2 linked regions of the Drosophila melanogaster genome follow. Each later gene encodes a partner of the first gene's protein in a complex. Each region holds a gene or a part of one and is shown on either strand. Other genes may lie near its edges.

Region 1 (16,748 bases):
TATCTACGGCACTGAATAAACAATTTACTTTATTACATTTATAAAACAACATTTAAAGAAAAATATTCACATTTTTCGTTTATATATTTCTGACGTATGCTCTCATACAAATGTTTGTACTAATTTCATATAAGCACACAACGTCTTAATGGCCAACTGTCGCTCTATTACCTTAGTCGCTATAGATAGACACATCTGATTTCGTATCTCACTAACACTAATACCAAGGTGATCAGACGAACAGAAACAACGGCCCATCAGGCAAAAGACACACTAGAAGTGAGTAAATATTATCAATGGCAAATGTGAAGTATTAACAGTATTAACTCGTAACTAGTAACAATGCCATTAATCGGAAATGCACTTACTAAAACAAAATTTCTGAATTATGGGAAAATTACTTTAATTCGTATAGTTGGTTTGAAATTGTCACGCAATTACACATCGAGTCCTACATTATGGGTATATTAAATTTTTTTTAAGATTGTAAAAGGCAGGCCCAATAAGTATATTCATATAGTCGGCGTTGACAAATTTTTTCAACGGCTTGTGACTTTGTAATTGCATTCTATCTTCTGTCAGTTATCAGCTGTTACTTTTAGCTTGCTTTAGAAAAAGTGTGCGAAATTTCGTTTATATTTGTTTGTTTGGCGTCAATTTTAATATGGAGCCCACAAAGGAGCATTTTCGTCATAGTTTACTTTATTATTTCCGTAAAGGAAAAAACGCGGGGAGGTTGCTAAAAAGTTACAAGATGTGTATGGTGATGAAGCCTTAAAAGGAAGACAGTGTCAAAATTGGTTTCGCAAATTCAGTTCTGGAGATTTTTCACTTAAAGATGAGCCACGTTCATGTCGGCCAAATGGAATCGAATTGGATCGTCATGTAACTGAGCGTGAGATAGGAGAGATGTTAAATATACCAAAATCAACCGTTCATTATCACATAAAAAGTCTTGCACTGGTGAAAAAGCTTGATATTTGGGTACCACATGTATTGAAAGAAATTCATTTAACACACCGAATCAACGCTTGTGATATGCATCTTAACGCAATGAATTCGATCCGTTTTTAAAACGAATCATAACTGGAGATGAAAAATTGAGCTGGTTGAGCTGGATGGTGAACCAGCTCAAACCACTTCAAAGGCTGATATCCACCAAAAGAAGGTTATGCTGTCTGTTTGGTGGGATTGGAAGGGTGTCGTATATTTTGAGCTGCTTCTAAGGAACCAAACGATTAATTCGGATGTTTTCTGTCAACAATTGGACAAATTGAATACAGCCATCAAGGACAACGCTAGACCGCACACATCTTTGGTAACTCGCTTTTGATGCATCCACCATATAGCCCTGACCGTGCACCATCAGACTACCATTTATTTCGATCTGTGCAGAACTCCTTAAATGGTAAAACTTTCGGCAATGATGAGGCTATAAAATCGCACTTGGTTCAGTTTTTTGCAGATAGAGGCCAGAAGTTCTATGAGCGTACATTTGCCAGGAAGATGGCAAAAGGGTAACGAACAAAATGGCAATTATATATTTGATTAATGTTCATTCTTAATTTTTTTAAAAATGCATTTACTTTTTGGGAAACCCCAAACAGGATTGGGACCTGCGAGTTTAAGATTAAAAAACCCTATGATTTACAGTTTTAAAGAGCAATTTTTTAATATATTAAAAAACTTAAAAATATTAACAAAATTCAATTTGACTTCAACGAACATCGTATTTCTTTTTAATGCGTTCATTAGGGTCTATTACTTGAACAGCCTAAAAGTTGTGAATTTTTTCGAGAATGTAAATAAAAAAAGGATAACATGAACGGGAATTTCTTTTTTCCTATCTACACATTCACTTTTATAAAAATAAGGGGAATAAAAAAGTCGATTCAGAAAGGGAGATGAAAAAATACATATGTATTTCTTAGGTTCCCTCGCACTGCTATTTCATTGAACAAAGCTTTATATAATATGCTGATTTCAGAGAGGCAGACGATACGTTTTTGTCACACCCACACCTGTGAAAATCGGTTTTAATTTTTTTTTCGATATGCCAAAAAAATATGTCGACGCCCAATTTACGCCCAAAAACAATTCATTTAATTTATAATTATTTTTCATTGTTCATTAAAAAAAAATGTATGATAAACCGCGGATTTAGCATGTCGACGAGCTGGTTCGCGAATCAAAAACTTATCATTCAAACTGTCACTGTCAAAAATGTTTCACAAGTGTTGGCAACATTTTTTTTTTTGTTTTATTTTTTGTTTTCCCAATTTCTATAGATGTTCCAGAAAAATTTATAAATTTCTCTTCAGTGTATGTTATTATTTCATTATTTAGAGCGACATAACGTTAATGTCGTTATGCTAATGACAAATATATTAAAAAATTATGCATTTTGTGGGCGTTAAATAACTACCAATCTGTAAATGCATTCGCCAGGTGGAAATTTACCCGAAATTTGAAGTCGAGACTTCATTTCTTTCAAGTCAAAGGTCCGAAATAAACAATATTTGAGATGGCGAAAAGGAATAGTTATACACGAAGCACTTAAAAAGGTTTGGGAGTTTGACAATTTGCGCAGAATCAGAGCCTGGCGGCTATCAAATAAAAAAAATTAAAAATTAAATGTTAAGATGAACTACGAAAACAACAATATTACAACTTACCAGTGATAGGAGCAACTATGGACTCAGATACATTTTTAGGAGACACTATAGGAATTCTAAAGAAAAGAAAAATATTAAAAAGGATTATTTAACAATACAAGACAGCATGCTATAGTCGGGGTTCGCGACTTAGCCTTAATTAAATACTTGAATTCGTCAATACAACTTTTTAAAGAACTAGAAATTATCTTTTGGGAGGATTCTATCAGACCGCTTTTAATTAGCAAATAAACGCAGCTTTAGCTGCGTGTCGCCAGATTCTGTATTTTCAATCTCTATATTTCCCGATATATCCACGTTCATACGGACCGACAACCGGAAGAAAGAAAACCACAACATATTTAATTTGAATGCAACTGAAAGACTTAAACTTCTCGTAACACCTTAAACGAAACGTAATATACAAAATTTTATCTGCTTTCCTGAGTTCATAATTAATATCCGATAATTTACTTTGAATAAAAAACTGTTCCTTAACAATGTGTTTCTTACTTTTTGCTTCTCCCTCTTTGGGGCGTTGGTAATATTTCAACCGAAGGAGCATCAGTCATCGCGGATACGATTGGAGTCGGCCCAACATCTGTTCGACTTATTGGTGTTGTTTCTGCAAAATATTTAATAATTAAAACATATCGGTCTTATGTAAAATTTGACGTAAATTTAAAGGTTTTCCCAAACTACTTACCAATGGGGATATAAGGCGCGTTTGTCCGTGATTCTGATCCTTGTGATGATGTACTGGTCAAATTATTTAAACCAACACTTTCTTGCTGTGGAATACGTATTGGACCTTCTGAAAGGACAGTTGCTGGTGTGTTTGTGGAGGTTACCTGATCGGAAAATTCATTGTCTGTGTTTGATTTTGTCTTTAAAAGATAGAAATAAAAATATTAAATGACTCGAAATATAAAGTGCATGTATTACTTGCCTTATCAAAATCGTCTAAAATATTTTTTTTAGTCGTCGGATCGATTATCTGCAATCGATGCTGATGCCGGCGCCGGCTAGCAGGCTGCACCTGCACAGGTTGCGGTTGCACACTTGTTGTCATTACACCAACCCCAACCATTGGTGGCACACCCACTTGCCCCATTGTACTACCAGGACCGCCAACGCCCATTACAGTGCTGGCTCCTGGCTGCACTGTGCTTGTGAGCAATTGAATTTGCGACGAGCTAGCCCCCGGAACAGGGAGAGGTCCATTGGGTCCAGACTGCACTGGCTGCAAATTGTTTCCCACATTGACGTTCGTATTTACCGTGACAGCACTACGAGTATGCGGCGGCTGTTGCTGAAGAGTTGGGACATATTGGTACTGGTAGTATGGCATGGGGGCGGGTGCGTATTGCAAATGAGAAGCTGGAAATGTTTGTTGCCGTGGGTTATATTGTGTGTATTGTTGTAGCACCATGTTCTGGTGAAGGGGTTGTGAGTACATGGGTTGCACATGGACATGCCGTGTTGCTCCGCCACTAGCACCTCTAGGGGCATTAGGCGTCGAGGGTGGTCCTCGAAATATTCCGCCACTTTGTGGATTAGAACGGGTATTCCCAGAATTGTTGTTTCCCGTTGATACATACTGAAAGTATTTAAAAGAATTTAATAATCAGTAAGAGAAAGAAATGGATTGTATTATTATTATTATTATTATAAAGATAATGCAGTGAAGAATGTAAAACTTAAATAATCAGAATAAATATTTAATATATACTAGTAGAGGAAAAGGTTATACTAAATTCTTTGAAAAGTAGCAGTTAGAATGCAGCGTTTCAGACCCTATAGAGTATATATATATATATATATATATATATATTATTAGCCTCACTAGCCGAGTCGATCTAGCCTTATGAACGTAACGATTTTGGGAATTGTGTCAGAAAGTTGAGATCACGCAAGCAGAATCCGTTGGTTATTTGGTGATTTGTCTTGCCAATTTATATCGGCATGTCCTAACGCCCTTAAAGCGCAAAAGGCTGCCCCCAATCTTCCAAAATGTTTAAATGATTTGTATTTCTATATTTTTTCTTCCCCATTTTTTTCGCCTCCAACTAGCTAGTCAAGGAACTCGACTATAGCGGGTTTCTTGGTTTCTTTACATTACATTAGGCACTGTGAGTACAATATAAAAGTATACATATATTCACATTATAAGAAAAACTGCTCATTAAATAAAAAATCGTATTGATATTTAATAAATTTTGGGACCTAAAGTATTTAAAAACTAATTATTAAAAAAAAGGGAGGTGAAATGAAGTTAAGAATTATTTAAAATGAATCTCTTCCTAAAGTCACAGAATTTGCAAGGTTTACCTCTGCTGTAGATGCCGGGTAACTATTATTTGATAACAAACTACTGTTATTGAAATCATACTTTTTACTAGTATTAACACAATTGACGCTAACGCCAACGATATTCTTTTCGTGCATGTAGCTTGTGCCTGCTGTAGTTGTTCCAGCTATTCCCATAGATGTTCCTATTTGCGCATTAGGCAATACTATTTGGTTGTTAATACTGACTCCAGTACAAGAACTTTTTTCACTTCCGACTCCGACGATGGACTTATTTGATACTACTGACCCACTGATGTTGCCATTTTGTTTAATGTCCTGTACATTTAGAAAGCAAACATTTCCATCTAGACTTCCAGTTAATTTTCGGTAACTGGATATGTTATAAATGGCAGTCGAATTCATATCACCCGAATTCAGTTGTCTACTATTTACTGTCAATATGCTTGAACCGTTACAGATAACCGATGACTGGGCTCTAACTGGTTCAGACGCAGATAAGCTTCTATTTACAACGTTTGTATAGCTTTGTTGATGCTGCTGTGTTTGCTGTGGGTGATGGATTGGTGGATGCTGCTGATTCGTCAAGTGTGGGGACTGTTGAGCGATCTGCGCTGATGCCTTAAGAATGGAGACCACATTGTATGCCTTATTTATCTGAAACTGAGGCTGAGCAGTGGGATGGCTATGCTGCGGTTGAAGAGGCTGATGAAGAGATTGTGGCTTTGAAGTTGGCACCTGTTGATCATACTTTTTGGTCTTTTTATTGGCTGGCAAAATCTACAACAGATCACAAGAGTGGGAACATTTTCGGACTGTAAAATTGATTTAACAATGATTAAAAAAAAATGTTGCCGAATATATAAGTTATAAAAACTATTAGATAATTGGTTAATCCTACTTTATTGCACTTAAACAAAGTATTAAAAAAACCAAAACAAACCCATTTAAAAATAAAATGAAACTGAGAAATCAAGAATCGGAATTTTGAGTAGTATTACACTTCTGCACTGTGAAATTTGAATATTATACTTATGCAGATTTTTTAATACTTTTCAGCCTCAAATTTTGTGATAAATAAATCCAGAATTAACAAATATATATAAAACATGCATTGGGTTTGATAATTTTATTAGGGTTTAGAGTTTTTGTCCTACGTCCCCTATGGACAAATAATGTTTATGGGATTTAGCTGTCTAACACAGTTCAAATGATAGATTACAAGATTAATTAATTAATAAAAAAAAAGTTGTGCGTACAAAATAAGAACACTAAATGATTAAAAACAATTAAACTATTATTTATTTTGTTATAGCTTCATTTAATTTTCCGACTGTTGCTCCTTAGTCGTCGCCGGCATGTTGACAATTAGCCTTAAAACCAAAGTTATACGCGGTCAAAAAACGGTGTATATCAAGTTGTCATTCAGAAATAAAAAGTATGAAGCTATTATCTTCTGGACTATTTTATATTTATTTTACTCGGCTGCTGATACTGATAAAGAATATATATATAATTTATATGGTCCCAAATATCTCTTTTACTGCGATTTAAATATATGCCTTATATCATTAAGCCCTTCAAAAGGACATCACTATAAAATACAATATCAAGTTGACATTTTATGAATAAAAACAACGAAACTATTATATTAGGGACTATTATATATGGACTGATTCTGTGACTTGGATATGTGAAATCATTAATCCTTTAAATCAATATAATAAAATACATTTCGAATATTTTTTTTCCCTTGGATAGATTAATCACAATGCGTTTTGAGTTTAGCTTTAAAATTACGTTGCTGAGTGTCTGCCAGTTACCAACAAACCAGATTCAGCATCCATTTTTGGAGCCACCGTTGAAATAAAAATTTTTTTAATTAATATTTTTACCGATAAAAACTATATGATTTATGTATGTTTGGAAAAACGCGGTTTTTTATAGTTTAGGTTTTAAATAAAGTACTTCATACCATGCCCGGAAGAGCTTCATTTATGAATTATGTAGCTTTACAGGACTAGAACAATTATTAGTATTCAATCAAGTTCGTTAAAAAAATTTTTAATTTTTTAATTCATTTAGTAAGTAACTTAAATAATTGTAATCGCAAACATATATTTTATAAATTTTTTAATTGAATTATATACCTTTTATACAAACCGCAATATTTATAAAACAAACATATAAAAAAATTCCACAAAAATAGCATTTTCTTTTTAAACTTTGCTGTTATTGTACGAGAAGTGTGATACTATCTTAATAGATTGTTTACATTGACTACAGCAGGCAAACTTATAAAAAATAGGTTTTAGCTCTTTTCGGAACTAGGAAAACATATTTATTTAACGAACTAATTTAAAACAATTGCAAGGAAAGTAATACAGCAAATAATGTCAAAATGTATATATGTAAATAATTTTGGAGATGTTATTTTTATATCGACTTACCATATTTTGTGCTGAATGGGGCTGCATGGCTTTATCTATATCTGATTGTGTTGGTAAAGTTGGTATAGCCTGTTGCATTACGTATGTGTATTCCTAGAGTTAGCTCTGTAGGAAATCGCCAAACGGTTAGATTTACCGTTTCATAGACGATTTCTGTGGTGATTTTGGACCCACAAATACGACGTCATTCAATCATTTGATTCTTTAATGAATATTAATGAATATTAATTGTCCACGTTTCAGTTCTGCATATTTTACCTGGAAATATATTGATATACAGCTACCAGAGAGGTCTCTGAAATTAAAAGAACTGACACGTATAAAATCATTAAATATCACAAAAGATTTCACCCAAATGTTTCAAAAATATAAAGTAGACATTTTGTAATTTATTAAGTCTAGAGCTGAAGCCCAGAGATAATTTCTATTAAACATTTGCCAATCCATCCTGGAGCCTTACTTATTTGCCGACGTTGCCGTTGTGACTTTGGAGATTTCGTTCTCACAATCACAATGGTGCATATGGTGAAAACGTGCCACGAATTCCATCGTTTACATCATTTTTAAAAAGTTAAGACACATTTCAGAATGTTAGTGGTAAAATCTTTTTTCCCTTCACTGTGCACAGTAAACTTGCAAAGTATCATGTAATATTTGTTGCCCAGTGCTCATTATTAACCATCAATTTACCTGAGCAAATGTTTGTATGTGCCTATCCGACGTGATTATGTACAAAAAATACAAATGTTAAGAATTCCACTTTAAGTGTATTTTAAAAATGTATTTATTTATAAAAATGAAGCAGTAATTCCAGCTTTATCTTTACATTCAAAAACTATTTTTTAATAATTTCCACATGCAATGTGTTCTGTTCATACGAACAGAGTTGCATTTATTATTTGAAACATCGATAGCACACAAGAAATAGTGATAACTGAAGAATATCATTATCAACGATAGTTAGGTCACATTTTTAAACGCTTCATCATTAATAATTTAATTTTTTGCTAACCATAAGTTTTTAAAAATAAAAAAAAAATCATATTTCAATGTTAATTATTTACTAAAACTACTTCATAATACGTTTATTCTATTGAGGTTTGCCAAAATTATAATAATGATTGTACATGCTATGCCAGCGTTCAATTCCTGATAATGAGCCCTTTCCGCAACATGGCTAAATAGATCATTATATCTAAGAATACAACATATGGGCAACTTTAAAACAAAATGTTAATTTCATCGTAATTAGGGTTTCTTGAACGTAAAATATAATTAGTTAATTATGGCCAAAATAAGACCCTTTCACACTGACTAAAATACATATGACAATAAAGAAATTGGTAAAAAACGATTCTATATTACATCAAAATATCGATAAATAAAAGAATTTAAATCAAAACAAAAATAATCCGTATTCAGACCCAATTATTTTATATTATTATTATATATTTTTTTTTTTTGGCACGGGTCCAACGGCGACACCTCCCGACCAACCGAACGAGGGGCGCTGCCGTGTATCGTACGCCTCGATTAGCGAGAGGATAGACGCGATATAAAAAAGAGAACAGGATCGAGGAAATGAATATAATATAAAATAACTATATTAAATATTACTGTTAGTAGGATCTAATCATAAAATAAAAAAAGGTAAAATCAATTGCTTTGTGAGCGGCAGAGAGTCAAGATTACAGATATTAGGATAAAGTCTATTATAATCAGAACATAATACTCTGTAAGGGTCACGCAACTCATAGTTAGATCTACAATGATTTAAAATAAGGAACTGAGAACTGAAATAAGGAACTGAGAACTACTACTGAGAACTACTTCGAACTGAGAAGTTAAGCCGACTAATCAAGTCAGAACTCTTAACATCCCCACGAATAAGCTTACAAATAAAGACTGTTCCAAGCATAGTTCTACCAAAGACACTAGAATAACAAGATGCGTAGCGGCCATACATTGGTTTGGCACTATGCAGCCAATTTTTTAGTGACGGCCAAAATTGCTCTCTTTCCGCTCGCTCCCGCTGAGAGCATAAGAAATCTAAAAATAGAATTTGCTTGCTTGTGTGAGTAAAAACAAGAGACGAGAACGCATATATGTGTGCGTGTTGTGCTAGAAGACGATTTTCGGACCGAAATCAATTCTGATCGAAAAAACGAATTTACATTGTACATATTAGGGTAGTTTTTGCCAATTTCGTAGCAATATGATAAAATAAAATAATTTTTAACTGACTATTATCATTTTAAAGCTTTTTAAATTTGTTTGTTAAAATCGCCGCTCGAATTAGCTACCGTTTACACATTTATATTTATGTTTAATTCTAATTTGTCTCTCATCTGACAATTTTTTAAGAAAGCGAAATATTTTTTTTTTTAAACACTTTTAATGTTAATGTTACATCATATAAAGTCAAATGACATAATAAATATAGTAAATAATTAAATATGATAACTGTTTATTGCAAAAGTCATATCAAAGACACTAGAATTATTCTAGTGTCTTTGCTTTGTTCATATCTTGAAGCACGAAGTACGGACACAAGCACTCAACAATCATTGCCTTATTAATTTTTCACACGCCGCAAGATGAATACTCTAATGACAAATATTCTTATATAAAGTCATTTTTGAAATTTATTTTTGTGATAATATGTACATAGATTTGGCTATTTCTAATCTATTTTCATATAATAATAACGTTAAGGCAATGCAAAACAAGAATTTTTCGCATGGTGCCAATTGATCAAAAATAATATAGATTTAAAGTCAAAGAACTTCTAAGGTGAAGGGCATATTTTGTGAAATTTACAATGCATGAGCGAGCATACGTGTGCACACATACAGTTGTCTGCTATCACTTTATGCGATGAAAAGAGCTGTTCGCTGTAGCACTCTCCGCTCTCTCGCTCTCTAACAAAAATTCGAGAGAGCCTGGAGCCACCTCTAGAGCCACGGCGAAAAAATCGTGTGCCAAAAAATCGTATGGCGTTACGCATCTTGTTATTCTAGTGTCTTTGGTTCTACGGTTAGCTAGGGACGGTAAATTAAATTAACGTAGTGTACTGGAATAAGGAGGTAATATACGGTTTGCATCCCACTTTAGGCGCCGCAAGCAAAACGTAATAAGTTTTTTTGGACCGATTCAATGCGGTCCGAGTGGACTGCGTATTGTGGACTCCAAACAGGTGATAGTGATCCGTACTCGAGAATCGGACGGACTAACGAAATAAATAAGGTTTTAGTCAATTAAGGATCATCAAATTCCTTAGACCACCTTTTTATAAAACCATGCACACCCCTGGCCTTATTGACAATAGACGAAATATGGTCAGAAAATTTTAGTTTAGGGTCCAGAAGACCACCAAGATCATCAACCCGTGTTATTCTCTCCAAAGAGTGCTCTTTGGGTGGGTGCCCACTTAGAGCGTAAGTCATAACGTTACACTTGGAGCCATTTAAGTCTAATACGTTATCACGGCACCATATTCGAAATCTGTCTAGATCGGATTGTAAGTCCAAATGGCACGAAGTGTCCTTGTGCTGAAGGCATAATTTACCATCGACTGCGTACATAGGTACACGCGAATGTTTTATTATTAAGAAAAGGTCGTTAATGAATAAGGTAAAAAGAAGCGGGCCAAGATGGCTCCTTTGTGGGACACCGGATGTGACTCGGAGAATACAAGATAAAGTATTTTTAAAGAGGACTTGTTGCGTACTGCCATTCAGGATCTAAATTGGATTTCTGCTTGAAATCCAATTTAGAAGATCAACAGGGAAACCTCGAATCTTTTTTAGCTGCCGATCTTAGCAACATATGCGGATTTGCTGCGATTGACAGCTAATCAGTTGTGGAGTCCTGTTGATCATTTGCCCGTGGTTGCGGGGCCTTAGGAAGCCTACCACCAGCGGCTTTTTTGCGCTTTGGAGATTCATCTAATAGCTTAAGGCCATTAGACTGTGAATTAAGTGCGGAAAGAAGATCATCGGCTCGACGAAAACTATCTCTAGCTATGCCAAAACAGTTGATCAGTTCTTTCAAGCCACCTTTAGTTTGGCGCATAAACGATTTCATCTCGTTCGCAACCACAAGGCAAGCATCACAACAGTAATTTAGATTTTTACCCTTTGCTAGGTCATCACTTGTACGGCCATTAAAACCAGCGCAGTTAGTATGCACCATTCGATCACATAGCCAACAAGTCATTTTTGGCTGCTCAGGTTTTGTAACCTGCCAACAAATTTTATAAAAGCAGACAACATTTACGGTTTCCATATTTATCTAAAATCAGACCACTCTGCACGAAAACACAAGATCAAAACTTTCAAGCGAGCTGTTAAAAGAACCGCACGAGAGCAGTCTGCACGCTGAGAAATTTAGATTTTGTGTGCGAAAGAGCGAGAGAGTGAAAGCGAAAAGTACAGTTCCTGTTCATGCAAAAAACAACACCAAACAGCACTGCGAACAACGCACAACAGGGAGAGTAAACAAAACACCAAGACGAAAAATGCAAAATACTTTGTATATTTGTTTAACCTACTGCACAAATCACAAAGAATCACTCGCGAAGCGAACGGATCTTTAATAATTATGTTTCAAATATATGATATTTAAAAAAGATTATTAAAAACCACGGCTGGTTTGACAAACACAAAAAAAAAACGCAAAAAAAACCCGTTCGCTTTGAAAGCTATAGACGATATGTTATATGTATATATTCCGTAGGTCTTCAGGCACGAAAGACATACCCTAGACCAAAGACACTAGAATAACAAGATGCGTAACGCCATACGATTTTTTGGCACACTATTTTTTCGCCGTGGCTCTAGAGGTGGCTCCAGGCTCTCTCGAATTTTTGTTAGAGAGCGAGAGAGCTGAGAGCGCTACAGCGAACAGCTCTTTTCTACACATAAAGTGATAGCAGACAACTGTATGTGTGCACACGTGTGCTCATGCATTGTAAATTTGACAAAATATGCCCTTCACCTTCAAAATTCTTTGACTTTAAATCTATAATATTTTTGATCAATTGGCACCATGCGAAAAATTCTTGTTTTGCATTGCCTAAACGTTATTATTATTTGAAAATAGATTAGAAATAGCCAAATCTATGTACATATTATCACACAAATAAATTTCAAAAATGACTTTATATAAGAATATTTGTCATTAGAGTATTCATCTTGCGGCGTGTGAAAAATTAATAAGGCAATGATGGTTGAGTGCTTGTGTCCGCACTTCGTGCAAAGCAAAGACACTATAATAATATGAAATTTATGAAATTACAGTAGTTTTAATAATTTCTATTGTACTTCCTTTAATTAATTAGTATATTTATTAAGTCATTTGACTTAAAGTGATGTAACATTAGCATTAAAAGTGTTTCAAAAAAAATATTTCGCTTTTAAAAAATTGTCAGATGAGAGACAAATTAGAATTAAACGTAACAAATTTTAACAAACAAATTTAAAAACTTTAAAATTATAATAGTCAGGACGCGAATTTTTAAAAAAATTTTTATTTTATCATATTGCTACGAAATTGGCAAAAACTACCCTAATATGTACAATGTAAATTCGTTTCTTCGATCAGAATTGATTTCGGTCCGAAAATCGTCTTCTAGCACAACGCGCACACATATACGCGTTCTCGTCTCTTGTTTTTACTCACACAAGCAAGCAAACTCCGCGGGAGTGAGCGGAAAGAGAGTAATTTTGGCCGTCACCAAAAAAGTGGCTGCATAGTGCCAAACCAATGTATGGCCGTTACGCATCTTGTTATTCTAGTGTCTTTGCCTAGACTGTAAAGGTCCTTGCTAAAAACTTAAAAAATTTATGCATTTCTTATTAGTTTAATATTTATGTAATAAGCATTACAGGTTTGGCAGGCTTGTGGGTGCTAGAGGGGCGTGGCCAACATCTAATTGGTACACCGATATAAATTTGGAAAACATAAAATTTTTTCAGATAATTAGAAACATGTCTCAATTGTGTGGACGGAATGGGCGCGTGAACAAATTTTTTGCCAAATTGAACAAGACATACAATGAACAATATTACATCAGTGGGCTTTAAAGTGGGCATGGGCGTTTTATTTGACTCGGCTATATAAGTATAAATACATAATATGGTCGAAATTTTTTTCCCCACCTGTTACATACCTTTCAACATATCTAGTATACACTTATCACCTACGTTATCGAGTATATAAATATGTTAATTTTCTTAAAAGAGAATGTGTTTTCCTATATGTATGTGCTGACGTACCTCATCTGGATAATTGTTTTATATTTTGAGGATGGTATATAACTTTCTTAATTTAAGATCTGGAATATATCGATAGTTCAAATTTCTGTAGTTATTATCAATAATATAATATATAAATATGTATGTATCTATATACAAGTATATATACATATGTATAGTATAGTATATATACATAAGGCAAATACAGATGATTAAACGCCGCAAAGATGACGCAAATTTAATTGTTTTAATTATTTGTTAATTTTAGTAAATCGAACTAAGTAAAAAAACAAGATGTGGAAAAGTACATTTCTATTTGACGAATTTAGAGCTACAACATTTTTACTGAAATTCGAGCTCCAGAAAAAACTGTTGTGCTTATTGCAACATCCCTAGGAAAAGTCCATTAGTGTGCCCGTGTAAAACGAACACAATGAGTATAGTGAAAAACCATTGTTAGACAGGTGGTAAGGAGTAAGACTACACAGCTCTCTTAAAAACCGTTATTAAATTTTCATGAGAGAGCATTAATGCTTTTTTCTCTTTGGTATGCTGCCGTAATGGTGCTTTCTCTCTCAAATTCCGTGAGAGATGGACAGTTAGAAGGATTGTTGTAGATTGTTGCTAGTATTGTTGTTCTTTTACTTGGCCACTGCTGCTGGTACCCATTTCTTGGTTGTTGTTGTGCTGCTGCTGCCTCTACAAGAACTGATTTCGTGTTAGCTTATCATGGATAAATCAGTCAACCAACTGGTAATGGTAGGACAAGACGTGCGCGTATTAGTTAAATATAAAAAAGGTTTTAAGAAATGTTGCGATAAAGTTGTATAAGAATTTAAATAAGAAAAAAGGTAATTTAATTGTGAACATTATAAATAATTTTTCTAAAGAAAAGAGTTGTGAATAGTGATAAAATTTATTAATTATTGCACATTTTAAAGTTGTTCAATGTTCATCATAAAACAAGGAATCTCGTTGACAAAAATAAACACAATTAAAAAAGTTGCACTTTTCCACACGTACATAAGATAGTTGCACATGAAACCTACTGTAAAGGACTCAATATTTTACAATAACTTTGTACATATATGAAAATAACTGCAGATAAGTATGAGTGCCCTTTTTTAGGGCTTTCGCTAACACATTGCTTTTGCAGCTTCAGAGCAACGCCATCATCAGTACCATTCTTTTTGGTACTTGGCTTGTCCTTACATTCCAAAGCTTTTGCTGTTACGTGTTAATAGTGCTTTTACCACAGGCAAGAACCACTAAATTATATAGAAAACCAAGTATTATGAAAATGCTTGGTGTTCTGACAATCCCACACCTGTTGGAAGTGCCCAACAATTTTGGCTATAAATAATGTTTTACCTGGTGTGCTAAGTAAATACTCATTTTTTGTTTTAATACCAGTGCAGAGAGTATATTTATATCAATCTTAATATTTTTAGTTTTAGAAAAAATTGGGCATGGATTTAAAAACGAGCCTACGTGATTTAATTGTTTTTATTTTCAAAATGTATCGGTATGCCAAAAATATTATTATAGCTTTCTCCCTACTTATACCCGTTACTCGTAGTGTGTTCGTTAAAAAGTATGTACCAAGAGAGGGTAGCGTTTTCGACCATATAAAGTATATATATTCTTGATCAGGATCAATAACCAACCCGTCATGTCCTTCTGTCCGACCGAATAAACGTCGAGATCTAAGAAACTATTAAAGATTACAGATACTAGGGACAAAGACGCCTACCACCCCTACACTTTTGGAAAATGTTTTGATTTTTCTTCGTTTTATTGTTTGTCTTGCCAATTTCACCGGTATACGCCCAAAACTGTCACGCGCAAACTGTTGAACAATTTTTTAGTTTTTTCTCATTTTATTTTCCAATATCTATCGATATACCAGAAAATTTATGAATTTTCTAGTTCGCGTTTCCACCAGTTGAGTAACGGATATCTGATAGTCGGGGAACTCGACTATCTCTTATTTTATATTATTATTTGTTTAGCTTAAAAACGCCCACACTCATTTTTGAAAAATTGTTGTTTTTATTTCGTTAAGAGATTTGTCTTTTATGATTTCTATCGACAGGGCAAAAATGGTTGAAATTTCTCCATCGCACTCCAGCAAGTTGAGAAACGGCTATCTGACAGTCGATGAACTCGACTATTTCATTAACTCTTGTTTCTGTTTAAATATAATAAGCTTGTAATATATTTTTAATTATAGAATTTTTTCGGTTCCCATAGACAAGCATCAACCAAGGACATGCAAAAACATGAACCTGAATTTCACGTTGCGGGCCTAATACATTGTTAACTTAAATCATCCACGTGTCTTTAAAAAGATGAAACAGAAAAATAATAACGGAACAATTTTAGTCGTCGTGATGGTTTTATCCTGGAGTCGAGTAGTAGACTTAAAAAGTCCTAGTAACACACATACTCAGGATTCAGTGTCTGTTTCTCTGCCTGGCGACATTATACTTGGTGGGCTATTTCCGGTCCATGAAAAAGGTGAAGGTGCCCCTTGCGGACCAAAAGTATATAATAGGGGAGTTCAACGCCTGGAAGCAATGCTGTATGCTATAGATCGTGTAAACAATGACCCCAACATACTTCCTGGAATTACGATAGGAGTCCATATACTTGACACCTGTTCAAGAGACACATATGCCCTCAATCAGTCGCTTCAATTTGTCAGAGCATCCCTAAACAATTTAGACACATCAGGATATGAGTGTGCAGATGGGTCAAGCCCGCAACTAAGAAAAAATGCTTCGTCAGGCCCAGTTTTTGGAGTTATTGGCGGGTCCTACAGTTCAGTGTCCTTGCAAGTGGCCAATTTGCTGCGTCTGTTTCATATTCCTCAAGTATCACCGGCCTCAACCGCTAAAACGCTTTCGGACAAAACACGCTTTGATCTGTTTGCTCGAACAGTACCTCCAGACACTTTCCAATCCGTAGCCCTCGTGGACATACTAAAAAACTTTAACTGGTCATACGTATCAACGATACATTCGGAAGGATCTTATGGTGAGTCTTAATCAATGTTCTGAAAGCAGAAAATTGTA
Region 2 (17,023 bases), on another chromosome or scaffold:
GGCTTCAGCCCAGGAGCAACAATCCCAGCAACAACAACAAAATCAATCACAAAGCGAGGAGATAAATACAAACACTGCCATCAATGCAAATGCAACCACAACAAATAGCTACAACAATAATTTAGATACGGAAACCCAGCTTCAGATGCACCAGGATCCGCAGCAGCAGCAGGAACTCGAGGGCAATAGCAACAATGGCATCACAGGACTCGGCCTCAGTCTGATGAACTCCTCACCGCCGCCGCACAGCTACCGACATTCGCGGGCCTATCGCCACTTCAAGAATCCGCCACAGCCCCACATGTGCATCCGCACCACCACGGAGGCGGGCGAGGAGCTCTTCATCAATGTCCTCAGCTGGACGCGCATTGTGATACCGCAGGAGCCCAGCGATCCCATTCCCCTTTACGGAGGCATGCGGGTAAGATTCCTTAGATTAAGTGTCCTCAAACATTCACGTCGGTGTTTCCTTTATTAGTTATTTATGTTAATGTTCTTATTCATTAAGGTACCGCCTGGCAGCCCACGCAGTCCTCCCATTGTCTTTGCCGTAATGGCCAATCCGGAGGTGCTCAAAGACTCCGGACGTCACAGCAAAGATCCTGAGGAGCGACGAGCTATGGTGGAGCTGATGTGCGACTTTGTGGAGGCTATGAATCCAGGCGTGAAATTAGTCAGGTATATAATAACACTATTAGTTTACTGCCCGATTAAAAACAAGAATAAAAATATATGTAATACATCTCCAGAAACGCCGTAATACTCAAGGATCGCGATATCTCCGGCGAGCTGAAGGATGTCTGGAATGCCGTTCAGGCGCAGCGCGATCGCGAGAGGGAGGAGCAGATGATGCAGCAGCGCCAGCAGCAGCACTACCAGAACATCACCACGCAACAGATGTTTCCCAAATCGCCGGATGCATCGCGGGCAGCTAGTGCTGGTGCTGCAGTGAACGAGGCCAGCTCGCCGCCGGCTCACTTGTCTGAGCCGCTGCTGGTAGAGCAGGGAAATGGCAATGGCAATGGCATCACCCTGGCCGTGTTTGCCCAGCAGCTGGACAACAAAGTGGCCAGCGAGCAGGGTGAGCAGCAGGAGCAATCGCCAGTTTCGGAGGATGCTTGCGTGGATCAAACGGATGCAGGCAGCTCGCTGAATGGATCAACAACTGTGCTGGACAATCAGCCGGTGGCAGTGGAGAACGAACCAGAAGTAAAGGTTGCACCACCGGCAGCCACAAATGGTGCTAGCACTCCCACACCCAGCCACGCAACACCCACAGTAACAGCCACAGCCACATCATCGCCCAGTCCAACTCCAACTCCCGTTGTTGCTCCCGTCGTTACAGCAACTCCTCCACCTGCTGCTCCCGCAAAGAAGGAGAAACTGGGCGGCTTCCTGCCCAACGGCTGCATCTTCCCGCGCTTCAAGAACAACAAGCACAAGGACAAGGACAATAGTCACAAGGAGGGCAAGAGCAAAGAGAAGACCCTGCTGAATGCGCTGAAAAAGAGCAAAGAGAAGAAGGTGGCGCCCAGTGAACAGCCGACAGAAAAAGCCGCCGCCTCGGACAACGGAACAACGCAGTACGAGAAGAACTGCATCAACAATCTGGAGTGCGAGGTGCAGAAGCTGGACTTGAACAGCGGCACCAATGGCGACAATAGCATGTTCATCAAGCTGAAAGTTTCGCCGGCCAATGCCACAGCAGCGGCAGCGGCGGCCAAGTAGAGATAATCCTGAATTTACACACAAAAAAAAAATAAATAAAATCTCGTAGGTAAGTGGGAAGTTAGGACGATAGAGAGCCAGAGGAGGCGGCACTCTACCAGTGAACAGTGTCACTGTGTCAGCACTTAGGGCTTAGAGTCGTGGATAGAGTCGTGTAGCATATACAAGATTTATATATACAGATATATATACAAGCATTCACACACCCGTTTTTACACCGTTGGTCAATTTTTTGGATAGCCACTCAGAACCAGGACTAGATGAACTAACAGTTGTGCCATGCTCCAGCTCATAGACATTTATAGACGACAGCGCTTCTCCCAGGATCTTCCCCGGCATTTAACTGACAGAATGATAAACGTATTTACATAGTTCAATATATGTATGATTCGCATACAGTTTGCCTTATATACAACAAGCCCGAGAGAGCGACAAGAACCTAGCAAGAACCAGTTGATAAACACGAGAATAAATGTATTTAAAAACATAATCGTCGAATGAAACTCATGCGCCAAATGAACTTACCAGACTAACTACTAGCTCCATTCCCAAATTGTCACATCATCTCATCGTGAACCATACACCCACCAGGCATTTGCCCATCGATTCATCCATCCATCCATCCATCCATCCATCCATCCATCCATATCCATATCCATATCCGTGCAAAAGTATTAAGAAACTTCGCAGATCCAAGAACCCTAACCCTGGATCGATTGATCTCCACGCTTTGAAGTTGAGGGGCAGTGAAAACAGCGGAGGGAGTTTTAAAGCCGGCTCTTTAGTGCCACGACTAACTTATGTACCTTAGTATAGCCGAATGCGAAAACAGTATACAGATCCGCAATGTCGCTATTATGATTTATATTTTAAAGTTTAACTTTTAGTTTCCCCTTTTGGATACCGAAACGGGGAAACTACATTTCATTCTATTTATTTTCCGTTCGTGCTTGTTGTGTTGTAATTGTGTAATACTACTGTTGGAATTTTTAACTTTTACTGTGTTTATTGTTTGTGCTAACCCAATTCCAATCCCAATCCCTCAACTTCAAACGAAACCATTCACGAATCATATATTATAGAGAGTAAAAAACCACTAGAAATCGAATAAATATTCGGGAAACACCAGTGAAAAATGGTAAAACAAATAGTTTCAACTGCAATATCGGACTGAACAAAGCTGCCATATGAAAAGTATATACATGTAATGACTTTGTATATAAAGTTAGCTACAGATTTCCATAAAAGAAAAAAACGAAATTTCAATTGTGATTCCATCGAAAATCTAATTTTGTTTCCACATCGAAGAATTTAATTGAAGAACTCGAAAACACACACACAACGTATACCGAATAAAATATAATTTTGTTTGCTGGAAAAAACCGCATGTAAGCGGAGAATCCTAACAAAAAGAACTTTTCTTTTTGTTTTTAGTTCATTATATTTTTTTATATAGGTGCCATACAGGAAGCGTGTATGTGAATTAATCAAAATTGATTTCATCCAATTGGTATTAAGATTAAGCCCAGAGTTTCCTTAATTGTGAGTTGAAACGAGTACCGAAAACCCTAAAGTATATATACTAGTTTTTAACTGGTTGTAAATGAGAAATGCTCGTGTAAAATTAGTATTAAATTATAGCACGAACCCAACAACAACAACAACAACAAAAAAGCAACAAACATAACACTACAATTACAAATTAAATTAGTTTAAGACCCAAGTCTTCTAAGCGAAGAGCAAAAAGCAATAATTTTACTTGAAAAGAGAGTGACACGACAAGAAAATTATAATGATAAAAATGCGTGTGTGGCTAGTAACAGCAAAAGGGTGGAAATCTGGAAAACTCACGAACTCAGAGAGATGCAATAATGTTTCCTTGGAAATATCTAGAGTTTTCCGGAGCAGCCCGGAAAAATGTCTACAACAAACAAAAAGCACACACTAGCGGATGAAAAGCCAACAAAACAGAAAAACACACATTTTTATATGTATATGTATGTAATAATAAAAGATCGTATTTGACAAAAGTGTATTTAAAGTTTGCTATTTATTTTGCGAAGGATTTCAATAAATATGTGAAAATGTCTTAGCTACTTTCTACAGAACGACCTATACAAGGCGATGCGATGGATCCACCAAATCCATAAGGATCTAGATCAATATCTGAATCTTACTCATCCTTGTTGTTGATGGCACGCAGGCGTTCGAGCTCGGCACGCTCCTCCTTGTTGCGCAACAGGGGGACATTGTAGTCGAAGGCGTAGAAGAAGCCCTTGGGCTCGCCGGTCTCCTCGGGTCCGGGCACATATGGCGGCTCCTCGTGCACGTAGGGCTGGTACTCGGGCTCAGTGGGCTGGTAGCGACCCTCCTGCTGGTACTCGGCGGCATAAGGATCGGGATTGTGGCCAGCGGCGGCGGCCAGCTCACCCCACAGCTTGAAGTGCTCCTCCTCGGCCTTGAGGACAGCCGGAGTCTTAGTGGCCGGCAGTTTAAGGTGTGCCGGACGATTGTCCTCCACATGGAAACCGGTCTTATCAGCATAATAGTTGGCCACAAAGTCACGGCCATGTGGTTGGACATACTTGTACGATCCGGTCACTTTGCCCGTCTCATCGCGCTTCTCGTTCTTGCCCTGGTTCCAATCCCTATAGCCATAGGCAAATTGACCCAAACCATCCTGACCATGATACTGATGGGCATCGTAGTGCTCCTCCACATACTCCTCGGGATGCTCGATCACACGACCCATGTAGACGAACTCTCCCTTCTCGTTGCGCGCCTCGGGCAGGGGATTCTCACCGGTTTTCGGGGCATACTCGATGTCGCCAATGCCACGCAGTTGGGCGCTGTTAAGGAATTGCTGCGCCTCCTCGGGAGTTATGTTGATCTTGAAGATGTTCTCACCGCTGGCTAGTGTGGCCTGAAATGAATTAAGCGTAAAAATAATTAGCAAAATATTAAGACAAACCATTAAAGTGTGACTTGGGTGGTTAGCAGACTTTATGGCCAATTTAACACGCTACACAATTCTCGAGAGATCACAAAAAGAAGGGGTATGATGTCATATCACCATCATCATCATCAGTGATTAAAGTCTCATCTCACATGTAACGCGATGTTTGCTTAATTTTTGCACATTGTATAACTTTCGTATTTGCACTTTACGATCCGGACACATTTGACATTTATAGAGTCACCACAACCCGGACTTTAATTGAATGGATCGGATGGATCTATTCAGAGATGCTCGTAAATATCAGCTTAATTATGCAAATTATCTGCATTTACCAGCAACAGGGCAGCCAAGATGTAGCACTTCATAGTGGATTCGATTTGAAATATGAGTTATATGTGTGGTTTATCCAGGTATCACAACGTGTATTCGCTATTCTCCAGTTGGCGGGCTACTAATAACTGAGTAACCAAAAGGCACTGCTTATATACTAACTTTTTAGATCTACTTGGTATTGTTGTTTTTTGTTTTGCGTTTTGCATAAATCTGAATGAAGATGTGCTGGCTGGCCGACTGTTTCACTGACCAGCAGCAGTCTGAGCTTCACCTGTCCGGTTTCTTACTCAGCTTTAGAATCTCGATTCGCAAAGCCAGTGGCGGCAATTTGAAGTTCATTATCGGCGTCGCTCAAATTCGCACTTCTCACACTCGACTACGGATATATGAATATTTTCGGAGTGATGCGGAGACACCTATGGAAACATTATTAATTGTATGTATGCCGTTTGGTCAATTAGTTATCTAATAGCTTTGTGGTCTACCCATCTATTGTTGACTGCCACAGAACCCTTTTCGAAACGATTCAAGTGGCATTTTCAGCGCTCGTTGGCTGTCAGTTTCGAGTATCTTAAAGATACTTTTTTGACCAATCGGAATTCATTGGTTCAGTAAGCATATTCGGCGACTGGGTGTCTGAAATCTGGTTTCGATCATCTTATCTTGATGGTATAACTAGCATTTAGATACCCATTTTTCTTCATAATTCTTAATTTTATTTGTTGCATAATTTATGAAAATAGTACGAAAAAGTACAATTTTTTATACAGGTTCTGTATAAGTTACAAGGTACCCATTAGTCGAAACCTTATTTATCGAACTTTATAACCTAACCACTTGACTATGATTTATTTACAATTAAGCATCTTTGAGCGCTTCAATTACTTTTTACTTCCAATTAATGCAAAGTATACTGCCTAAGGTTTAACTTTGACTCCGGGTTTCCTGTAGATCGGCGGAAGTTTTTTTGTTTAGACATGCGCCAAGCACTTGAAGTCCGCAATTGACTGCTGCATAATTAGATGCGATGCGATTGGAATAGAGGATGCGATGGGTAATCACATCAACACTTGGACAGGCGATCAAGTGTCAGTTCAATAAGACCGGCTCAAGTGTAATTAGAGACCACGGATCTTGGGTTTCGGGAAGGGATCTTGGGTTTTCGGATCATCGATCCAACGATCGTGCCGAGCTCTTGAAAGCCGCTTATTAGGCATTTACAAGGGCAACTGCGCAGTTGATCGGTTACAAAATGACTTAACTATTTAAATAATAAACACGCTTCACGTTTCTCAGGCTAAGTTCGTAAGCATCTTCAATTTTCGGATTGCGTCTCAACTGCAACAGTCTATTTTGAAAGTCAAGCGTTTCTAAAAGCGCCACATCATCAGCGGTAATATTATCCATCCCTCATAAATATTCCCATGTTGTTTTGGGATCTTTTGGCTATTTTTAAAGCAGACAAAGGCGAGCCAATAATGTGTGGAAAGAATTTTGGTTGGATTCAAATACGAAGCAGCTTTGGTAACAACTAAGGTTCTGGGTTAGTCATGATTCACCAACAGGTTAGACTTAGTTTTGTGGCAAAATTTAACCAATGACGTCCAAGTTCTAACTAAAGTAATATCGTTACTTTGTTATTTTATTTTTGGATATTCTCGAAAGTTTCTGGAATTCTCAAGAAAACTTAAACAATATAGAGTCGCATTATATGGAAAACTCATTGATTCATTCTTATGTTTGTTATTTTGTTATTAAATTCCAATTGATGATGCCAGTGTCTAAATAAAAACGAAGACCTAATTTTCAACCAAAAATCAGGTTTTCTGGGCTTGTCCGTATTAAACATTTTTGATAATTATTTATAATATATTGTTATTTTTTGCTGGCTTCAAAACATCAACAAATTGTGTATGATAAATGACGATGACGTTGTTGTTGATGGCGATCGCGCTGTGGGAATCAGATGAAATGTCAATTAAGTTTGCATTTATATCTTTGATTGAAGCTCTAAGATTTGCTTTGCCATTTTATGCGGAAGTTAAGCTCGGTCAGTTCTTGAAAAAGTTCCCATGGGAGCAAGTTATTTGTTTTTTGACAATAAGAAGCGTTTATTTAAAATGGCTTATTATGGCCTCAATGATTCCTAATAGGCGTAACTTACTGGTTATAAACTTGTTTAATATCGTTTCATTTTAAACCTGGATGACAGAAAATGAATTTCGGTTCAAATACAAATATTACAATAGAAAGTATGATATTTAGCTCCGATAAACATTTAACAATTTTAGTATTTTAATGGTGAAATGGTAAATTCCGCGCATGAAAAGAGATAGAAGAGATGACATATATGGAAACCTTAAAAACGTAACGGTTGCTTGGGTTTTATAACAATCAGTCAGTGACAGGCATTTCCAGAGTTGCCCTGTTCAACAATCGATAGCTGCCTTCGGTCGCTCGTCACTAACTTTCCTTTAGGCAACGGCCACACTGTCTGGCCACCAAAATCCCAAACTTAATTAAAGAATTAAATAATTCGAATAATAATTAAGCCCAGTAACCTACGCAGCTTGAGTGCGTAACCGATATCTAGTATACATTTCGATACATCGAAATCATGGTAGTGTTGGAGACGGAGAAGGTAAGGCGAGAAACGGCGAGCCGCATGGTTTCGATTTCGGCTGAGCCGTGGCAGGAACAACAAAAACAGGGTTGTTGCACAAGAGGGGAGGCGATAGTCGAGCGGAAAAGTGTGCAGTTGGCGTGGCTACATCATCATTGTGTTCACCGATTATTTTTTGCACAATTGCTTAATATTAATTGTACTTGCACGCTATTGTCTACGTCATAGCTATCGCTATCTCTGTCTGTCTCTATCAAGCTATCTCTCTTTCGCGGTCACTCGTTCTCTTTTTCTCTCCTTTCGCATTTGCATACGCATACCACACGTTTTCAGTGTTCTCGCTCTCTCTCTCTTGTCAAGACATCGCGCGCGTGTGTGTGGGTGTGTTCTTCTTTAGCTACATATACATAAATAGGAGAGCGGAGAGACAAATATGGAAAGAATGGAAAAAGAGTGAATTACTGCAATTAACCAGTCGCGAACAGTTAAATCATATTTTTGTCGGCCATTGCAGTAAATAAACCGTTGGCTTTCCCTCTTCACTTTCCACCTCCTTTCTTTGACGTTAATTTTTTTCAGTTAATCGCGCCGCTGCTTTGAACTCGAACACGAATTTTAGCCGCAACATAAAATAAAATCAAGTAACTCTTTTAACTCAAATATAAAACAACAATTCCAATTCTTTCAACAGGCAATCTGTGTTTTTATGTCAGATACGTGCGCGTGTGTGTGTGTGCTGTAATTCCATCGCCCCTTTCGATTCCGAGTTCGTTAGGAACAGCATTAGTTCGCCTATTTTAGTAGTAGCCTAGTCCGATTTTAAGTGAAACAGGATACTCCAACACCATATACTCAATAATTAGTTACAACACCCACTCAACCATACAGCAACAACAAGTTTAACGAGTTTTTTGTATTATCATTACTTAGTTTTTTGGTTAATAATACACAAGTGAAGAGCGAACTGCAGGGGAGCGAGATATCACGAAACAATCCAAAATCCACACACACTCAAACAGAAATCAAAAGCTTCGCTCTCTCGCACACACACGCACCAACCAACTATCAACTATCACAAACACCGCGACAGAGAGAGAGCGGCAAGTGAATCACGGCGAATCGAAACCGATCCGAACCCACTCCGGAGCCGAAAAAGAACTGATCCTACCATCAAACGCATCCAATAAACACGGCCGCCAACATGCAGAGCGACTTTCACAGAATGAAGAACTTTGCCAATCCCAAGTCCATGTTCAAAGTAATACTCTCAGTGCGCCTGTCGCTAAGCCAAGCTAATCTAATCTTCTGATTCCCCTTCCCATCCATTGCCATCTTCTCCCGCAGACCAGCGCCCCCAGCACCGAGCAGGGTCGTCCGGAACCACCAACTTCGGCTGCAGCGCCCGCCGAGGCTAAGGATGTCAAGCCCAAGGAGGACCCACAGGAGACTGGTGAACCAGCAGGCAACACTGCAACCACTACTGCTCCTGCCGGCGACGATGCTGTGCGCACCGAGCATTTATACAAACACCCGCTCATGAATGTCTGGACGCTGTGGTACCTTGAAAACGATCGGTCCAAGTCCTGGGAGGACATGCAAAACGAGATCACCAGCTTCGATACCGTCGAGGACTTCTGGAGCCTATACAACCACATCAAGCCCCCATCAGAGATCAAGCTGGGTAGTGACTACTCGCTATTCAAGAAGAACATTCGGTGGGTTTGCTGTTTATTGCAATTCTGCCAAGATAACCTTTACTAACTGATATCTCATTTGCAGTCCCATGTGGGAGGATGCAGCCAACAAACAGGGCGGTCGTTGGGTCATTACCCTTAACAAAAGCTCCAAGACCGATCTGGATAACCTATGGCTCGATGTGGTAAGTGCACAAAGAAACGAGTGGTGAGCGGATGGTCTATTTATAGTGAATGTACATTCTTGAAATGCAAAAATATAGAAATAGGTGTATGATTTTGCAATATAAATTATAACTTATAGAAAATATCAGCTAAAAATACGCTAGTGCTAGCTTTTGTCTTAGGAACATTCAATAGTGAGCTTATATCATAAATATTTTTCGCATATGAGTAACTACAACTGTTTTGCCTTCCAGCTGCTCTGCCTGATTGGTGAGGCCTTCGATCACTCTGATCAGATCTGCGGCGCTGTTATAAACATTCGCGGCAAGAGCAACAAGATATGTAAGTTTTCACGCACACCCAACTTCAGCGGAATTCCTTTGTTTAACGATTAATGCTTTCCAGCCATCTGGACTGCCGACGGAAACAACGAGGAAGCTGCCCTTGAGATTGGTCACAAGCTGCGCGATGCCCTGCGTCTGGGACGCAACAACTCGCTGCAGTATCAGTTGCACAAGGACACGATGGTCAAGCAGGGCTCCAACGTGAAATCGATCTACACTTTGTAGGCGGCTAATAACTGGCCGCTCCTTATTCGGTCCGATCCCACACTGATTATTTTGTCTTTCATTTATTTATCGTTATAAGCAACAGTAGCGATTAATCGTGACTATTGTCTAAGACCCGCGTAACGAAACCGAAACGGAACCCCCTTTGTTATCAAAAATCGGCATAATATAAAATCTATCCGCTTTTTGTAGTCACTGTCAATAATGGATTAGACGGAAAAGTATATTAATAAAAACCTACATTAAAACCGGATACTTTTGATCTTTGATTTTGGAGATATTTTAAAATAGAAAAAAGTTAACCTATATTGTTTTTGGGATAATTACTTGTTGTATTACTAAAACGAGCTTGTATCCTAATATGGGCACCTAAAGCAAAACTTCCAAATTTGGAATTCAATTTGTTGCTAAAAATACGTTAGCAATTTCTAGGGTGGCCAAAAAAAAATGTGTATCGATATATCGATAGGTTTCCTAAATAGACATTAAAATAATTTTAGCTTTTTACTTATATTGTTAGAGTAAATACGTTTGTATTTAAAAAATAAGTCAGTATTTTTTTTTTATTAACCTATTATTGAATTTTATATGAGTGAGAGCTTTTCCATTCAGCCAAGAACGGTCACACTGCATGTGACATGTTTCAATTGTGTAGGCGCAGTCACACTGGTCGCGTCGCTCGTAGATATCGTGTAAGGATATGTCTCCGTGTTTAGCTAAATAAAATACATAAAATATATGTGCAATTCTAACAAGCATAGCCATTTAGCGTAGAGTAGTGGAACGAACAGCTCGTACCGGGCCAGTAACAACAAATTAACAAGCAAACGCACTAAAGTTTGTCGCGGAATAAAGATATAATAATAGACCAGCTAACCAACACAAACAAACACACACACGGCCAGAAGTTCGTTGGCGTTGAAAGGGAAAAATGAAACGAAATGAAAGGAGAATAACAGTGCAATAGATTCGGTTTACATTGTGCAAAAAATCGAAGTAGCCCCTGCCAACAGGGTCGCTAAAAATAAAGAAGGCGACAGCCTCTGTTTATCGTTGGGAATAAACAAATATATGGCCAGCGGAGGAGAATCATAACAAAGGCGCAAGACTAGCCAGCATAAAAGACAAAGGAGCTCTCCTCCCCCGCGTCCGCCACCCCCCTCCCTTTTTGGGGTTGAAAACCCCCCACGCGTTGCGGTGCAGCATCGCCCCGACTATGCGATACCCTGCAATCGAGTTTATAGTGCTATAGAGAGAGAGAGAGAGAGCGAGTTACGAACAAAATGCCTTGCGACAACGCCAAAACCTCTTCGGATATCGAGCATGTGGATTGGAATTCCGGCCAGCACTATGCGAATGTCAGGTGAGTTTTGAATGCCCTTGATATGGCCAAAAAAAAAGGAATCCTATAAGTTATTCAAGTACACCAAAGAACAAAAAAAAAAGTAAAATAAAGAAAAACGAGAAATAAAATAAAATCAAGTGCAAGCACGCAATTGAAAAATCGTGGGATGGTTGACATTCTTCTTGGCATTGTCCATTGTTTATTTATAGCCAGGAAACGGACATGATTTAAATGTTTGATTGTTCGTCGTTTGGGAAATCACAATAATTAAGTTCTCAACGCAGGCTGCAAGTGCTAAAAATCAATGTGTGTTCTTTGCGCCACAATAAACAAATCCAGCTGTCCATACCGACACGCAGATAAGATATACCTTAATCGAAATGAAAACGAAAATAACCCAATTTCAAGCAGCGATTGATTCATTCCCTTAATTTGTTGCTCTGCACCAACATCAACTGTTGAGATCTCAATCGTCGTAATCCCCATCTAACGCCTGCTAATGACAATCATTAGGCAATAGTTAACAACATTGACTTGTACTTACTTACTTACCATACTAGTTCCATGCCGATCGGCAACTTCGATTGAAATGCAAATATGGACACTACGATGCTGGGAAGGTGACAAGATCTTGACGCGAGGCGCCAGCTGTTATCTGTTTATACAATTATAGGTTTATAAATTACGCGCGATTTATTTATATTGCAATCTGACGTGACAGCGGGGCATTGACCATACCCAATACTCTTACGACTTTTAATGAAGCCAATGAGGTCTAAAATGAAGATAAATCATAAATATAATTATATATCAGTCATTGAAGACGTTCTCCATAACTAAAGCAGTTTAATGGTACTGGCTTTTCGATTCACTTAATTCGTATTGTTTGGTATTAGTATTTGTGGCTACCAACTTTTATTTGCCTCATAGATGTTGTATCTTTATCTTTAGTTATTCATCAAATTTTCAATGGAACGCTCTTAAATAAACATATTTACTCAATTGTATTTGAATGTTGAGAAATGCGGCTCTTGCGTAGCTATAATTTATATATGTATGCTCGTATTTTGTGAAATACAGACCGTTCAACACCCCCGATGTCAGTGTGATGAGCCTTATCACCTGGCCATCGCAAATCTAATCTGTCGCCGGAGTGAGTAAATGTGTCTCACTTTGCTGTTATTTCAGGTGTCGTTGTTGAATAAACATTGGCTATTGTATCGGCTTGGGCCATCACGATCAAATATTTGTCGACTATCGTGAAAATGTAAAATGGAGCGTAGCGAAAAACAAACCATTGATAAGAAGCGAATTTTCTCAAGCTTGCATTTCGCATGGGTTTTCCCAAAACAATAGCAATGTGTATACACACACAAACATTCATACATTGCATATGTATGCAAATGTATATTTTTGGTGGCGCCAGTTGGGGGGGTATAACTTTTGCATTAATTGCCTCGAACTTAAACCAGTTGGGTTTTGGACTTTAAAATAAGTTTTACACGCAGAGAGCGCTAAAAAAAAAAAAAAAATAATGCGCAAATTATCAAAAAGCATTCGAACAAAGCAAACGAACAGGCAGCGAAAACAAAGCGCAAAACAGTTGAATTGGACCCCGCCTGACTCCGATTTCCCCCTTCCCCCCTCCACCACCCATCCATCCCTTGGAATCATCCGGTTCCTTGCGCCATGCGAAGATTACTTGTTTCATCTGGTCCGGCGGAGCTGGTGAGGGCGTGGCCCGTTCCGTTGTGTTCGGGCGTGGAATTTAATAAAATGCGCTAATTTAGTCGTAATTACAAGTGGGCACGGGTGGTAATGAAGCGCTCAAAAGACCCAAATCTTACGCAAATAACACGAAATGCCCCCGTAATGTGAATTTACCAAACGACCCTCGCATAATTAGGCGATTTAAGGGTAATATGCTATATAAACTTAGTTATCAGATCCAGAGAAATCAACAATTATATTCTTACTCATTTTCAGTAAGTGTTGAGCCAAAGTATAATTTTGTAATATTAATCTTGGCTTTCAGTTTGAAAACAGTTCCGCTTTCATAGTACATACATTCATATTCGACTCTCTGTTGATAAACAAATTTTCCCCTCTTTTATCAGCTAATTATAAACAACATTCATAACGATAGTTGAGCCGTTTATTTCTCAAGAAAAAAAAACGGCGATAAGAAACGAATATAAGTTCAAATTAGATTAACGAACGTAAATATTTGGTTACCGAAAAGTACACGATTCCGGGGAATTCGCAAATTTCCATCGGAAGCACTTTCGCAGTGGCAGCAACAAAAAGTGCCGTTAAACAAACAAAAAGCGCGATGATGCAGCTTGCACTTGAAACCCAAAACCCGAGGGCGAAAAGGTTTTTATTTTTAGTTTCGCTGAAATAAAGCACCTGCCCGTCGCTCTCTCATTCACCTGGTAATGCGATAGCGATACCGTTGTGTGTGTTATATATATACATACTTATACCCTTGTATATACCCTTTTGATATCGCCTAATCAAATTGTGGAGGGCAAAAAAGCAAAACGGAATGAAAATGTGCCGATCCGATCAATAAAAGTGTGAGAAATCTTAACGAGAGCTAGCTGCTCTTTTGCTTTTGTGATCGACAGGAATTTACATGTTGCTTATTTATGCACTCAAAAGTGACATTTCCGTTCTAATTGAGTTCAAAATTTGTTATTTTCAATGTCGAACAGGCAATTTGCGTTACCAAAAAGCCCATAAACGCCAAGTCATGAGGCTGTTTCGGTTGAGTGGTTCCAAGATGCAAGAGGTGTGGAAATGGCCAGCCGGCGACTGTCTGCCGTCTAATGAAGTCGTAAAACTTGCGACTTACGCATGTCCTTAACTTGCCAGAGCAGCCGAGAAAGGATAATGGTCGGCCATCCTTTTTTTTTTTTTTTGGATAGACAAACATGTGTACTTGCGGCCGTGTATTTTATGAACCGCTCTCTGCGGTGTAGCCCACAAACGTGCCCTGTGCTTCATCGATCCAAGGCCAGTCGTCAATTGGCCCCAAAAAAAAAAAAAAGAAAAAAAGCAAAATAAGCGGGGCAAGAGCAAAGAGGACGTGTCCAGTGCCTACATGTCCATGACCATGCCGACAGCCACAACAAATGTGCTGGCAGAGCCTTCGACTGTCCGCTTATGTCCTGTCCCGTTCTGTCCTGTCCTTTCCTGTCCTGCGCCTCAATCACGCACTGACTGCCTGAACTTTTTTTTTTTTTTTTTTTTTTAATTTTTATTATTTATTGAATCTTCCCTTTGTGTTAAGAGACTAACAATAAGTGTTCAAATCTTAATCTAACTTAATTAACTTTCACTTAGTGATAGTTTTTTTTTTTCATTAATGCCCTAATAAGTTTATTGCTGGGCTGGGAGGTCGTTGCGGTGCAGCCGGCTTTGACTGCATACTCGGATTAGTTTTCTTGCGAGGGGATTTGTATGGGTGGTCAGCTTTTCGTTATACTTCGTTTTTTTCTCAGCTATTACTTCGATTACTAATTTGATTTTTAGGTCTCTGTGTATGTTTTCGTTCCGAAGGTACCACGGCGCTCCAGTGATAATTCTCAGAATTCTTGACTGTGCTCGCTGAATAATGTCTATGTTACTTCTGGATGCGTTGCCCCACAGCTCGGAGCCATAAGTCCAGATAGGTTTTAAGACGGAGTTGTATAGAAGAGCTTTGAACTCCAGACTAAGTGGAGAGCGAGCATTTATGAGCCAGTGGAGGTTCCTTGCTTTAAGTTTAAGATGTTTCGATTTGGCTTCTATATGTTTGCGCCAAGTGAGCCGCCTGTCCAGATGAACTCCCAGATATGTTACCTCGTCGGCTTGTGGAATGCATATGTTATTCAAGACCAGTGGTGGGCATGTTTGTTTGTTTAAGGTAAAGGTAACCTGCTTGCATTTTTGAACATTTATTGAAATTCTCCAGTCGGCAAGCCATCGTTCTACAGATGTTAAGTGTCGGGATAGGAGTGCCGTGGCTTTTATTGGGCATTTCGAGCGACTGAGTATCGCGGTATCATCAGCGAACGTGGAGGTTGTTAGATTGTAGTCTATGGGGAAATCCGCCGTATACAGGGTGTATAAGATTGGACCCAGTACACTGCCTTGCGGCACTCCAGCTTCGATTGCGCAATCGCGTGAAGTGCTTGTATCGCATCTTATTGCAAACACTCTGTTATATAGGTATGACTTCAGTAGCTTATGTGTGTTTTGGGGCAACAGCTTGATTATTTTAAACAAAAGTCCATCGAGCCACACTCTGTCAAATGCCTGCGCGACGTCTAGAAAAATGGCTGTGCAGTATTCTCGATGTTCAAAAGCAGTACGAATTTCTGACGTGATTCGGTTGACCTGTTCGATGGTTCCATGTTTTTCTCTAAAGCCAAATTGATGTGTTGGAAGTGTGTTGTTTATTCTAAGATGAGGGCTAATCCGAAGGAGTAGCATTTTTTCAAACAGCTTTGAAAGACATGTTAGTAAGCTTATCGGTCTATATGATGATGGCTGCGTTTTATCTTTTCCTGGCTTTGGAATCATTACTATGGTCGACTTTTTCCATTTTTGAGGGAAGTATCCAAGCTTGGCGATTGCGTTGAACAACAGGCAGATGTGAAGAATAGCACACTTTGGGAGTTCAATGAGCATTCTTGGAGTTATTAGGTCGTAGCCAGGCGATTTTCTTGGGTTCAGTTGCTCTTTGATAACCTTTGCTAGTTCACATGGTCGGAATTCAAAGGGTTCTTGAGGATCTAGATTGGCTGCTATTAAAGGAGGGAGAATAAATGTGTTGGTAGAGGGATTTGGTCGGAATACATTTTGTAAATGGTCAGCGAAAGCACTGGCTCTTTCTTCATCACTTCGAAACCAGGTGCCAGAGGGACTTCGTAGTGGCATAATTGGCGCTATTGGAGTCTTTAGGTTTCTGTGAGCTCTCCAAAGAGGGTACTTAGTGCTGGTGGGAGAGAGTTGCTCGATATATGAACGTTGGCTGTTTTTTTCCTCTTGTTTGAGAGCATTGGTAAGCCTGCGTGTGGCTATCTTAAGCATGTGCTTAGTAATTGGTGATCTATTAGACTGCCAATCCCTTCGTAGGCGTCGTTTATCTAATACCAGCCGCTCGATTTCGCGATTAGTTTTGATGTAGTTTGGTTTTGCATACGTCACTGGCGGGGTTGAAGCCTTTGCAGCCGAAACTAAAATGTTTTCAAGAGTTTCCGTTGACTTGTCTATATCCTCCTTTGTAGATAATGCCGTCGTTAGTTCTATGTGTGAACAGACATACTTTTGATACCTTGGCCAGTTTGTTCTAAAATTTGTGAGTCTATACGGTGGGTCGACGATGTGGGGGCGAGTTAGCATATTTAGAAAAACAGGTGAGTGATCTGATGATAAGTCTGCTAGTGCTTCGGCGGTGACCATGTTGCGGGGGACATGTTTAGTAATTGCAAAATCGATCAGGTCTGGGATTTTTCTTGGGTCTGCTGGCCAGTATGTAGGCTTACCCGGGGATACATAGTCTAGCTTGTTTTCTGGCTTCGTAAGCGCATTGTACAATTGCTTACCCTTTGGCGACAC

The links.
Region 2: the proteins of eIF4G1 (region 1) and eIF4E1 are in contact, whole or in part, in a crystal structure (PDB 5T48), measured with the Drosophila melanogaster proteins. Residues at the interface, in NP_001137857.1 of Drosophila melanogaster: Tyr605, Trp610, Pro612, Lys619, Gln620, Tyr621, Arg623, Leu626, Leu627, Leu629, Arg630; in NP_001261626.1 of Drosophila melanogaster: Lys80, His81, Pro82, Leu83, Met84, Val113, Trp117, Tyr120, Asn121, Leu174, Asp175, Leu178, Ile181, Gly182, Glu183, Ala184.

What each region holds. Positions count from the first base shown.
Region 1 is NC_004353.4:922,408-939,155, forward strand, and holds the start of eIF4G1 (eukaryotic translation initiation factor 4G1), read right to left. Parts: upstream 8,309-16,748; 5' UTR 8,105-8,308; exon of another isoform or gene 7,875-8,104; intron 7,725-7,874; 5' UTR 7,673-7,724; intron 7,617-7,672; 5' UTR 7,493-7,616; coding exon 7,415-7,492; intron 5,745-7,414; coding exon 4,986-5,744; intron 4,255-4,985; coding exon 3,604-4,254; intron 3,542-3,603; coding exon 3,361-3,541; intron 3,280-3,360; coding exon 3,168-3,279; intron 2,732-3,167; coding exon 2,676-2,731; intron 1-2,675. Other genes in the region: mGluR (metabotropic glutamate receptor), read left to right, coding at 16,023-16,710.
Region 2 is NT_037436.4:9,392,918-9,409,940, reverse strand, and holds eIF4E1 (eukaryotic translation initiation factor 4E1), read left to right. Parts: upstream 1-7,480; 5' UTR 7,481-7,637; coding exon of another isoform or gene 7,638-7,661; exon of another isoform or gene 7,662-8,024; intron 8,025-8,135; exon of another isoform or gene 8,136-8,284; intron 8,285-8,334; 5' UTR 8,335-8,844; coding exon 8,845-8,901; intron 8,902-8,987; coding exon 8,988-9,358; intron 9,359-9,422; coding exon 9,423-9,522; intron 9,523-9,756; coding exon 9,757-9,844; intron 9,845-9,907; coding exon 9,908-10,071; 3' UTR 10,072-10,323; downstream 10,324-17,023. Other genes in the region: CG4022 (uncharacterized protein), read left to right, coding at 1-421, 509-678, 750-1,728; Cpr67B (cuticular protein 67B), read right to left, coding at 3,902-4,651, 5,020-5,052; CG4080 (uncharacterized protein), read left to right, coding at 11,355-11,434. UniProt on the Drosophila melanogaster protein: Recognizes and binds the 7-methylguanosine (m7G)-containing mRNA cap during an early step in the initiation of protein synthesis and facilitates ribosome binding by inducing the unwinding of the mRNAs secondary structures.